Yarrowia lipolytica: one gene and its partner. Each later gene encodes a partner of the first gene's protein in a complex. Links are inferred from orthologs where the notes say so. Each region holds a gene or a part of one and is shown in the gene's direction. Other genes may lie near its edges.

Region 1 (4,579 bases):
GGTACAAGTAGACGGCGTGCTTTTAAACAACAGTTGTGGAATGTCCAATCGAGCTTCGGTGGATAGCTGAGTCTTGTGGGACCCCTCACTTGAAGAAGAAGCCGTATAGTTATTGGCTAATGCACAGTGTGCCCGACAGCAACACCAGATTACTTTTTCTCATCACATCCATTTGACTTGCTACAGCTCAACTGCTAAGACCATGTGCAGGACATGCACCGAAGGGGACCCTTTAAGGGGAGCCCGAACCCTGGGTTGCCCGGTTGGGAATGGACTGTGATCCAAGTGGACGCCAAAACGACAGGTCCTGATAGCGTGGACGGCTGTGTGGAGCTAGCTCCGGCCTCTAGGCGAGCATAGAAATGGCTGTTATCTGTGGCTCTTGCGCCAACCACAGTCCCATAGTCTTATCGAGCTCGAAACCCTGAAGCCCCGACCCCGAAACCCACACAGTTTCACATTTACACCTAAATTCGGACACCCCTTCTCCCTCCCCCCATATTACACTCACACTCTCTTCCTTCGCCCCACACGATATGGAATAATGGACGAAGCGTTTCATTTGCAGCCCCACACCCACGTCTCGTCCAAAAAGGTGGTCGACGTGGGTGGCATCCGCACCATGGTCTACGGCCTCGAAGAGCTGCCCAAACGGTGCAAGGCCGTCGGAGTGCTTTACCTGGCCCATCCCAGGCTGCAGAACTACATGTACACCGAATATCTGGCCCACGAACTGCTCTCTCGGTGTCGCGAGGCAGCTGTGGACCGGTCGCCCGAGGCCGACCAGCGAGACCTGCCTGCCACCAACACCGGGATCGAGGCTCTCAAGGCATCCCGACCGCATGTGACAAGAACCGATTCACACACCTCGCGACGGCACTCGTACACGCCCTGGACAAACTACATTGCCGTGACGTTCGATCTGCGAAACCACGGCTCGCGAACTCTCACGGCCCAACGGTCTCTTGATTGGGAGGCAGGAAACGACACCCATGCCGTGGATATGATGTCCATCATCGACGGCTCCACAGACGACCTGCTGCTGGTCATGCAGTACCTGCCAGCAGTGCTGGACGCACAGCTCCGCAACGTGGCACCCAAATGGTACAACATTGTGTCTGGAGTGTCACTGGGAGGCCACATTGCCTGGCGATCTGTGGCCCGCAACAAGGACCAGGACATTTTTGCCATTGCACCAATAATCGGATCGCCCAGCATGCGCACGCTATTCGAGGACCGGCTGGACCAGCACCGGCAAAAGACAGGCTCCCTCAAAAACACCAACCCTCAGTGCCAATACCTGATTCCCGAGCCATTAAAGGACATCATTGCCCGTGACGACGCACGGGTATTTGACATGTCTACAGACACACATGTCTTCATTGCCACCGGTGAGGACGATGCGTTGGTCAAGGACTCATACTCGCATGAGTGGATCGAGCATTTCAAAAAGAATGGCGGTAGCCCCGAGTACGTGTGCCAGGAGGGCGTGGGCCACGTTTGCACAAACTACATGGTGACGCGCTTAGCAGAGTGGATTGTGCGGATTACCAGCGGGTGAGTGACAGTTGGTGCGTGTTGAACAACGCGTAGTGGGAGAGGTGATTCTGGCTATTCGCATTTTTTTCTTTTTCGTCCCCGCAATCGACCAATAACTAATACTAGCAAACCTGGTAGCAAGGTCTAGGTCCGCATAATCGAATATTCAGGGTGCACATCGAGGGGAAGACACAAAAACAACGACGACATTACGATTGAGGCGAACATTGGAAAAATGGTGGGTTCTCTAATCCACAGAACGAGTAATATATCATTGCATGTGCTATACCTTTTAGGTGACCTGGTGTACCGTAGCATGTGTATGACTGTGTACTATATTGATACTACAGTAGGCATGAGTTGTATTTTATCGGGTGAAATCTTTAAAAACTATAGTTCAGGTTGTACTTTGTTCTTTGGTCGGCCTTTGTATATAAATACTTAGAACTGTACGTACTATAACAACAGGACGGTACCCGTATGAAGGGGTACAAGATAAAAGAGTAAGATATGGATGCCGAAAGTTCTAGTCGCTCGAAATAAATCTCCTAATCCATTTTTTTACTCGCGCTGCTTTGATGGTTATAAATCACTATATTTATTTATCCCAGCACCACTGCTCCTCCCGCTCTGCTCACGTGACTCCAGGGTAAAATGTGCACCTGGTGAAAATTCAAAAATCTGCAGCACCATAACCCGAGACGAAACACAACATGATCCGGCGACTAATTCCAGGACTGACCTCCGGGCTACGACGGGGCTTTGCCTCCGAGGCCTCCGGAGCTGCCAAGCAGGCCACCGTCGACACACTGCCCGGCGCAGCAAAGTTGCCCGAGTTCGTTCTCACCTCGGTGCGACAGTTTCCCTCTCTTGAGCCCACACGTCTACAGCCTGTCACCTCGCAAATGCTGGGTGCTCAGGTCCACAAGGATCTGCTGTGGAGAGCCGTGGTCTACGAGGCTGATCGACAGCGAGTAGGAGCCTCCAATCCCCCTGGTCGAGAGCAGATGGGCTACTCTACCCGAAAGCTTCACAAGCAGAAGGGAATGGGTAAGGCCCGAGTCGGTGATGCTGGTTCACCCACACGAACACAGGGAGGTTTCGCGCTCGACAGAAATGCCCCCAACAAGATGGCCACCGGACTGCCCAAGCAGGTGTACGCCTCGGCCATCCGAGCTGCCCTTACGTCACAGTACCAGGAGGGTCGACTTTTTGTAGTTGACGGCCCCTGTGAGCTGCCAGAGTCCGTCAAGGACAACACAACCTTTGGACAACAGTGGCTGCAGGGCGAGCTTGGCTTTGGTAAGAAGGAGATGACCGTTTTCCTGGTTGACACCGAGCGACCCATTCTGGACTCTGTGCTCGGAAAGGACAACCTCAAGGCCGACATTGTGCCCAAGGAGTTCATTGAGGTGCGAGACATTCTCAAGGCCCGAAATGTGGTTGTTGAGTACGACGTGCTCAAGTGGCTGGCCGCCAAGTATCCCACCCGGGATCTCTTCGGCTCCTTCAAGCCCTGGACTAATTAGTGTATATAGTATAAGCATTTTGCTGTTTGATGGCGGCGTGGTAGTCGAGGTGGTGGTTGTTGTGTGGGATACGGTACGAGTACATACTGTACCGGTACAGATGTGTAAGTACGTGCTCGACGATTGTTTTGTACGCTAGTGATATGCTGCTGGCTGGTTGCTGGTTGTCTTGCAAGAAATGAATTAATTCGATATATAAATAACTAGTGTCTGTATCGGAAATAGGGAGACCTGTCGCCCATTTCAGACAGCTCGGCACTGGTAAGATGCTCACATTCGCCCGACTCAATCTTGGCCTGCTTCCTCTTGTTGACAACGTGGTAGCCAAAGTTGAGCACAATGAGAGACACGATTCCAATGCAAACAAACATGATCTCCATACCGTGACCCAGCTTGAACTCGGGCTTGTCTTCGGCTCGGTAAATGTTGGACGCAATGGCCCCAGAGAGGTTTCCAATGCCAATCTGGATGGCCATAGCTACAGCTCGTTTGTATGTACCTGCGACGTTGTTGGACATCCACGAGACAATAGCGGGCAGAGCTGGGTACAGTCCTAGTGCGATGAAGTAGCAGCCCACGTAGACTGCAGTTGGTTTTTTGTGAGACAGGTTGAAGGCCAACAAGTAGCCAAACAGCATGAATAGCAGGTTGACGAGAATGAAGGGAGATCTCTTACCATATCTGTCCGAGAACCAAGCTTGAGTCACCGAAGCTATAGCAGCAATCACGTAGATAGGGATAGTCATGAGCTGAGCTGTGGAGGAGGTGTATCCCAGGTTGTTGACAATGGTGGGAAGGAAGAGGGAGATGCCGTAGAGAGGAACCACAACTCCGAAGTAGAGAAGCAGGTGGACGTAGACCTGGATATCGGTGAAGGCGGCCCAGACGTACTTCCAGTCACGAGAGTCGTTCTGCGCTACCAGTTCACCCCCGGCACTATTGTCGTTGCCATCATACTTGAGTCTCCACACGACAAACTCCCGCTCTTCTTCGGTGAGGAATCGAGCTGTTTCAGGGAAGTCATGGACGAAGAAGAAGGCGATGAAGGCGACCACAACCGTAGCAATTCCCTCGAGAATAAAGATCCATTGCCATCCGTGAAGTCCAGCCACGCCCTTCATTTTTCCAATACCGAAAGCCAGCAGACCAGAAAAGGCACCGGCAATGGAGGCTGCGGAGAAGAACATTGCCTGTCTAAACTGGATCTCTGATCGGCAATACCACAGAGTGAGGTAGTAGCCGACACCAGGATAAAGACCAGCTTCAGTCACTCCGAGAAAAATTCGACAGATCAGAAGCCCATGGTAGTTCTTGACAAGCCCCATCAAAGTCATGACGATGCCCCAGGCAACCATAATGAGAGGAAGCCAGATGGAGGGTCTGAGCTTCTTGAGAATCATGTTGGATGGCACCTCAAAAGCTGAGTATGTAAAGAAAAAGACAGTGAGACACATGTTGTATTGAGGGCCAGTGAGACCGAGATCAACAGACAGACCTTCGATATTGGCGTT
Region 2 (4,682 bases), on another chromosome or scaffold:
TTGACCCACGGCACCATAACGTCCTGGTCCATGCCCTCGTGCCAGCCGCGTCTACTGGTCTTTTGTTCCAGCGCCCACACGTAGATGAGAGCTCGTCCGTCGGGCCGTAGAGTGTTCAGGATGGCCCGCACGGCCTCCCGGCGTCGCTCGGGGGTCGAAAAGTGGTGAATCACGGCAATGCTGATGGCGAAATCAAATCTGCCCTCGGGATGGGCGTTGTCGATCGCATCGCAGACCACCACCTCTCTAGAGGGGTCCATGTCATGAGCTAGCTTCACCAGCTCGTCCGAACGGTCGGAGCCCACAATAAACACCTTGTTATTGACGCCCATGTACTTGCCGTTGCCACAGCCAATGTCCACGCCCACCGAGTGGTCCTTTTGGTCCCGCAGAAACTTTTCCACAATGGGCCACGGCTTGTATCGCGTGTTGGAGAAGTGCGACGCAATCTGGTTGTACACCTCGTGCACGTGCTGCTGCTCGTTATCCTGCGGCCTGGTCGCGGTGAACCGCTCTTTGCTGGGCACCGATTCGACCACCATGCTGTAGGGAATGGGTTGTCGAGTGTGAAACGAGTTGGTGAAATGTGAAAGGAGATTTTTTAGATAGAAGTTAGATCTGCATGATGGGCGATAGACAAGGATGGAGACGGGAAGAAGTGGGGAGAAAGGGCTGATCCCCAGGACGTTTGAGATTGCAAATTCGCCCCATTTATTCTATGTGAACAGGGGCAACATAATACACTCCCCTACCGAAACTGTAGCTATCAAAATATCAACGGGATTGACATCTGGCCAGTTGATCCGACAGCCTGGGAATGCCCTACACCAGATCCGATATGCCAAACCCGTAACGACCCACTCTCCAGCTACACTACACACCTCTCTAAGTAAACATGTTGATTCTATAGTTAATGTACATTAATAATGCTACCCTGTGTCGACACAGGGGGGTGGGTGGGGGGAGAGGGTGAGTAGACAGTAAAGGTGTGGTAGAGCCAAAGCGGCGGACGACAGCATCTCTTAAGCCTCTTCCTGGTCTTGGTCCTGGTCCTCATTGGTCTCCTCAGACTCTTCAGAGTCGTCGGAATCCTCAGACTCCTCCTGGTTATCGTTATCTCCTCCGTCGGTGGTTGTGTTGGAATCCCCCTTGTCCTTGTTCTCCACCTCCTTCTCTTCAGCCTCCAACGGAGGCAAGCCCCGCAGGTCTCGCTGGACCCGTCGCAGCTGCTGGATCATGGCGTGGTTTCGCGACACGACCGACGGCATGCTGTCGCTGGACATGGACAGCAGCTGGTCTGTGCTCTCGGTGGTGGCATCGATGTACTGTGTGATGATCTCCTCGGCCTCGCCGTTGGGGATCGCCTTGGACGAATGCACTTCTATGGCCGTGGGGCCGGGCGCTTTGTAGGACGACATGCTGGTGGTTGTGGTGGGGGCGGCGCGGTTAGTACGTCGGGATCAAGCCAACGGGATTTTTTTTTTTGCAACAGCGTGATCCACAAGTGCGCAGTGAAGGCAAATAAAATTGAGCTTGCAGCTGAATGGGGAAATTCGGGTTAGGGTATAATGTGGGAGTCGGGACAATATGTGAAAAAGTGCCTACAAATATATTAATAGCAGAGAACGGCACAACACTCCAGACAAGTAACCCGTCGGTACTGTACCATATCAACAAGCCCCCAACCCAGCCATGCTCAGAATCATCACCAGAGCCGCTGCAACCAAGGTGGTCCGACCCGCACCCCTCATGGCCCGAAACATGGCCACGCTCGGAGGCAACGTGAACCCTCTGACCGCTATCAAACAGCGATCCGCCACCATGATCCAGCCCAACTCCGTGCCGTCGTGCATTCCCGCGGCCTCAGGGGTCGCCTCCGCGCTCGCCCAGGGCTCTACCGCCACTCTGCCCTTCCTCACGCCCTTTTCCGGCGCCTCCCAGCGACGATACGTGCGAGGTATCGACTACCAGCCCTCGGTCCGAAAGCGAAAGCGATCTCTTGGCTTTCTGGCCCGATCGCGATCTCGAACCGGCCGAAAGATTATCAAGCGACGGACTCTCAAGGGTCGGTGGTTCCTGACCCACTAGAAGGACACCACAACTAATGTATATAGCAAAGAGGATTATTGGTATGAGACAATGAAGATGGCAGTAGCTATGGTATCAGTTGTAGTCGTACAAGTACTTGTAATATAGTACGATGGATTCTTGACCAAGAATGAATCCATCAGGCAAGTTGGCCTTGTACTCGTACGATGACCAATGAATGTCTGCTAAGAAGAATGTGCCACGGGATTGGGGCAAAAGAAACGAAACAAACGGGTGGAATAACTTCAAATGTACCCTCCGAAACCAGTCGCCTCTTCCTCAAAGTATCAGATCATCTTTTATGTATCAGATCATCTTTTTTCACCGCTTTCATCCATCCACTCATAAGGTGTATGTAGGGGATCCAAAAGTGATCCTTTTGGGCAAAAAGGAAGTGGGTGAGCTGAGACTGGAGAAACCGGAAGGAGTGGAGCAAAAGATGAAAATCCCACGTCTTAAGCCAGCTTTTCCTCACTCAATCTAGCCGCTTCAACCCCACCAACACCCCACAAATTGACTCCACTGGTCGCTCCTGTAAACTGTAGAGAAACTCCCAAAGTCGAGATGAAATTTCACAGCTTAATTTTTCACCACATCACATCACACTACATCCAACCACCACCAAAAAATGCTCAGACTCACACACGCGGCCAAGCTGACGGCCGGTGGCGTTGCCCAGAGCGTGCGGCCGCTGTCGACCTCGGCTGTGGCGCTCGGCAAGAAGAAGAAGGACACCTCCGGAGCCGTCAACCAGCCCAGTTACAAGGAGCTGGTGATCCGACGAGAAAAGGAACGACTGCGAGAGATCACCCAGCGAAAGGAGCGGGCCAAGTTTGCCCAGCAGATGCGAAAGGCCCGAGACCGTCTGTCGCACCCGCTGCTCATGGACTTCCCCCTGGCTCTGCGGTACATTCGGGCCATGGAGGTGGGCTGGCCCTCGTCCTCCACATCGATAGTGGTGTCGTGGTCTATTGTGGCCAAGAAGGGAACCAACGGCATCACGGGCACCGTGCGACTGCCCAAGGCCATCGGCAGCGACACCATCTGTGTCATCACCTCCAACGAGGCCCAGGCCCAGGCTGCTAAGGAGGCCGGAGCTTCTCTGGTGGGCGGACAAGAGCTCATTGATGACCTGCTGTCGGGCAAACAGCCCCTCGACTTCAACAAGTGCTATGCCACACCCGAAATCATTGGCAAAATGGGCCGACTCGGCCGAGTGCTGGGTCCTAAGGGAATGATGCCCTCCGCCAAAAAGGGCACTGTGGGCAACGATGTCGCCGAGATCATCGCCTCCACCTCCGGAGTCATGCCCTTCCGAGAGTCTGCCGGCTGTCTCTCCATCAAGGTCGGAGACGCTTCCTTTACCGACACAGAGATTGTGGAAAACATTGCTGCGGCGTCTCGAGCAGTCCGAGAACAGATTGCAAAGACCCGAGACACCGCCAAGCCCTCGTCTCTGGCCCGAACCACTCTGCGGTCCTTCCACTCTCCCGCCATTACCATTGATGCGTAATTTGTATATATGATAGATTGGATAACAACTTTTGTTGTCTTGTGTTGTCTTGTGTCTGCCAGCTTGTAGGGCAGTTTTAGTTAGGTTCAGTAGTAGAGATTAGTTGGAAAGCAAAGTGCACTGGGGGTGTAAAATACCGTTTCCAGACATGCTGGTGTAGAAACGAGTACATCAGCAGATAGAGCGCACTCGGTATCCAACTAATGTGCGAAGACAATACATGTTTGTCATACAACATTTCGAGATATATTCATTTCGAAATTTCAAGTTAACTACTTTTACTTGACAGTTACTTTGCAACTATACTTTCCAATCCACAAGAGCAAAAGTGCAGTGTAGTTAAGGCCTATTTTGTTAGATTTTGTTGACTAACAAGTCAGCTGGGGGTCCTTTATTTGTGCCCCAGAAAAGATAACGACTAGGAACAAATCCCATTATATACAGAAATCCACTTTTACCAACAAATACAAATGATAAATACACATTGCTCACGCAATGTTTGGAGATATCGAAGCTCCAACGACACCGTCCAACTAATATTACTTAGCCTTCTACTTCAAACTCTACTTAGCCCCAGCTCCAGCACGGTACGATAATAAACTCACATCGTCAAGTGCATACGCATACACGTACACCATCATCAGCGTGTCACTACCAAGTACACAATCATGGTTCTCATCCCCAAGGAACCCAAGGAGCACGTGGAGCGTCGCGCCAACATTCTGGTGGCGTACATTCTCACCTTTGTGCTTCTCGGCATGCCTTTATGGCTCTACACCACCTCAGTCGAGCGAAGTCCTCTCCCCCACGATGAGATGGCCTACTACGACAGCACCGTCACGTCGGAGCTGCACATCAAGGTGCCTGTGGTCTTCTCGGGCATTGATTCTGATACGGCCAAGGATATTGAGGCCGAGTTGGCCCAGCAACTGGCGTCCCAGAACATCTACGGCTGGGGTATCATTCCGTCCACCGAAGGCGTCCAGATCCACATTGCCGAAGCAGACACGCCCACCTACACAGTCGACACCCAGGGCCAGGATATCAAGATCACGTCACCCAAGAACGATCTCGTCAAGGC

Evidence for each region. The genes of interacting proteins can lie anywhere in the genome.
Region 2: YALI1_E24343g (region 1) and YALI1_D15952g share a complex: the UniProt entries of both Saccharomyces cerevisiae proteins name them as parts of the mitochondrial large ribosomal subunit. The link is inferred for Yarrowia lipolytica from reciprocal best matches to the Saccharomyces cerevisiae genes YML6 and MRPL1.

The regions. Positions count from the first base shown.
Region 1 is NC_090774.1:2,431,975-2,436,553, reverse strand, and holds YALI1_E24343g (mitochondrial 54S ribosomal protein uL4m), read left to right. Parts: upstream 1-2,252; coding exon 2,253-3,068; downstream 3,069-4,579. Other genes in the region: YALI1_E24360g (uncharacterized protein), read left to right, coding at 545-1,561; YALI1_E24318g (uncharacterized protein), read right to left, coding at 3,272-4,579. UniProt on the Saccharomyces cerevisiae protein: Component of the mitochondrial ribosome (mitoribosome), a dedicated translation machinery responsible for the synthesis of mitochondrial genome-encoded proteins, including at least some of the essential transmembrane subunits of the mitochondrial respiratory chain.
Region 2 is NC_090773.1:1,593,328-1,598,009, reverse strand, and holds YALI1_D15952g (mitochondrial 54S ribosomal protein uL1m), read left to right. Parts: upstream 1-2,716; coding exon 2,717-3,601; downstream 3,602-4,682. Other genes in the region: YALI1_D15974g (uncharacterized protein), read right to left, coding at 1-542; YALI1_D15965g (uncharacterized protein), read right to left, coding at 1,023-1,418; YALI1_D15963g (mitochondrial 54S ribosomal protein bL34m), read left to right, coding at 1,693-2,088; YALI1_D15937g (uncharacterized protein), read left to right, coding at 4,270-4,682. UniProt on the Saccharomyces cerevisiae protein: Component of the mitochondrial ribosome (mitoribosome), a dedicated translation machinery responsible for the synthesis of mitochondrial genome-encoded proteins, including at least some of the essential transmembrane subunits of the mitochondrial respiratory chain.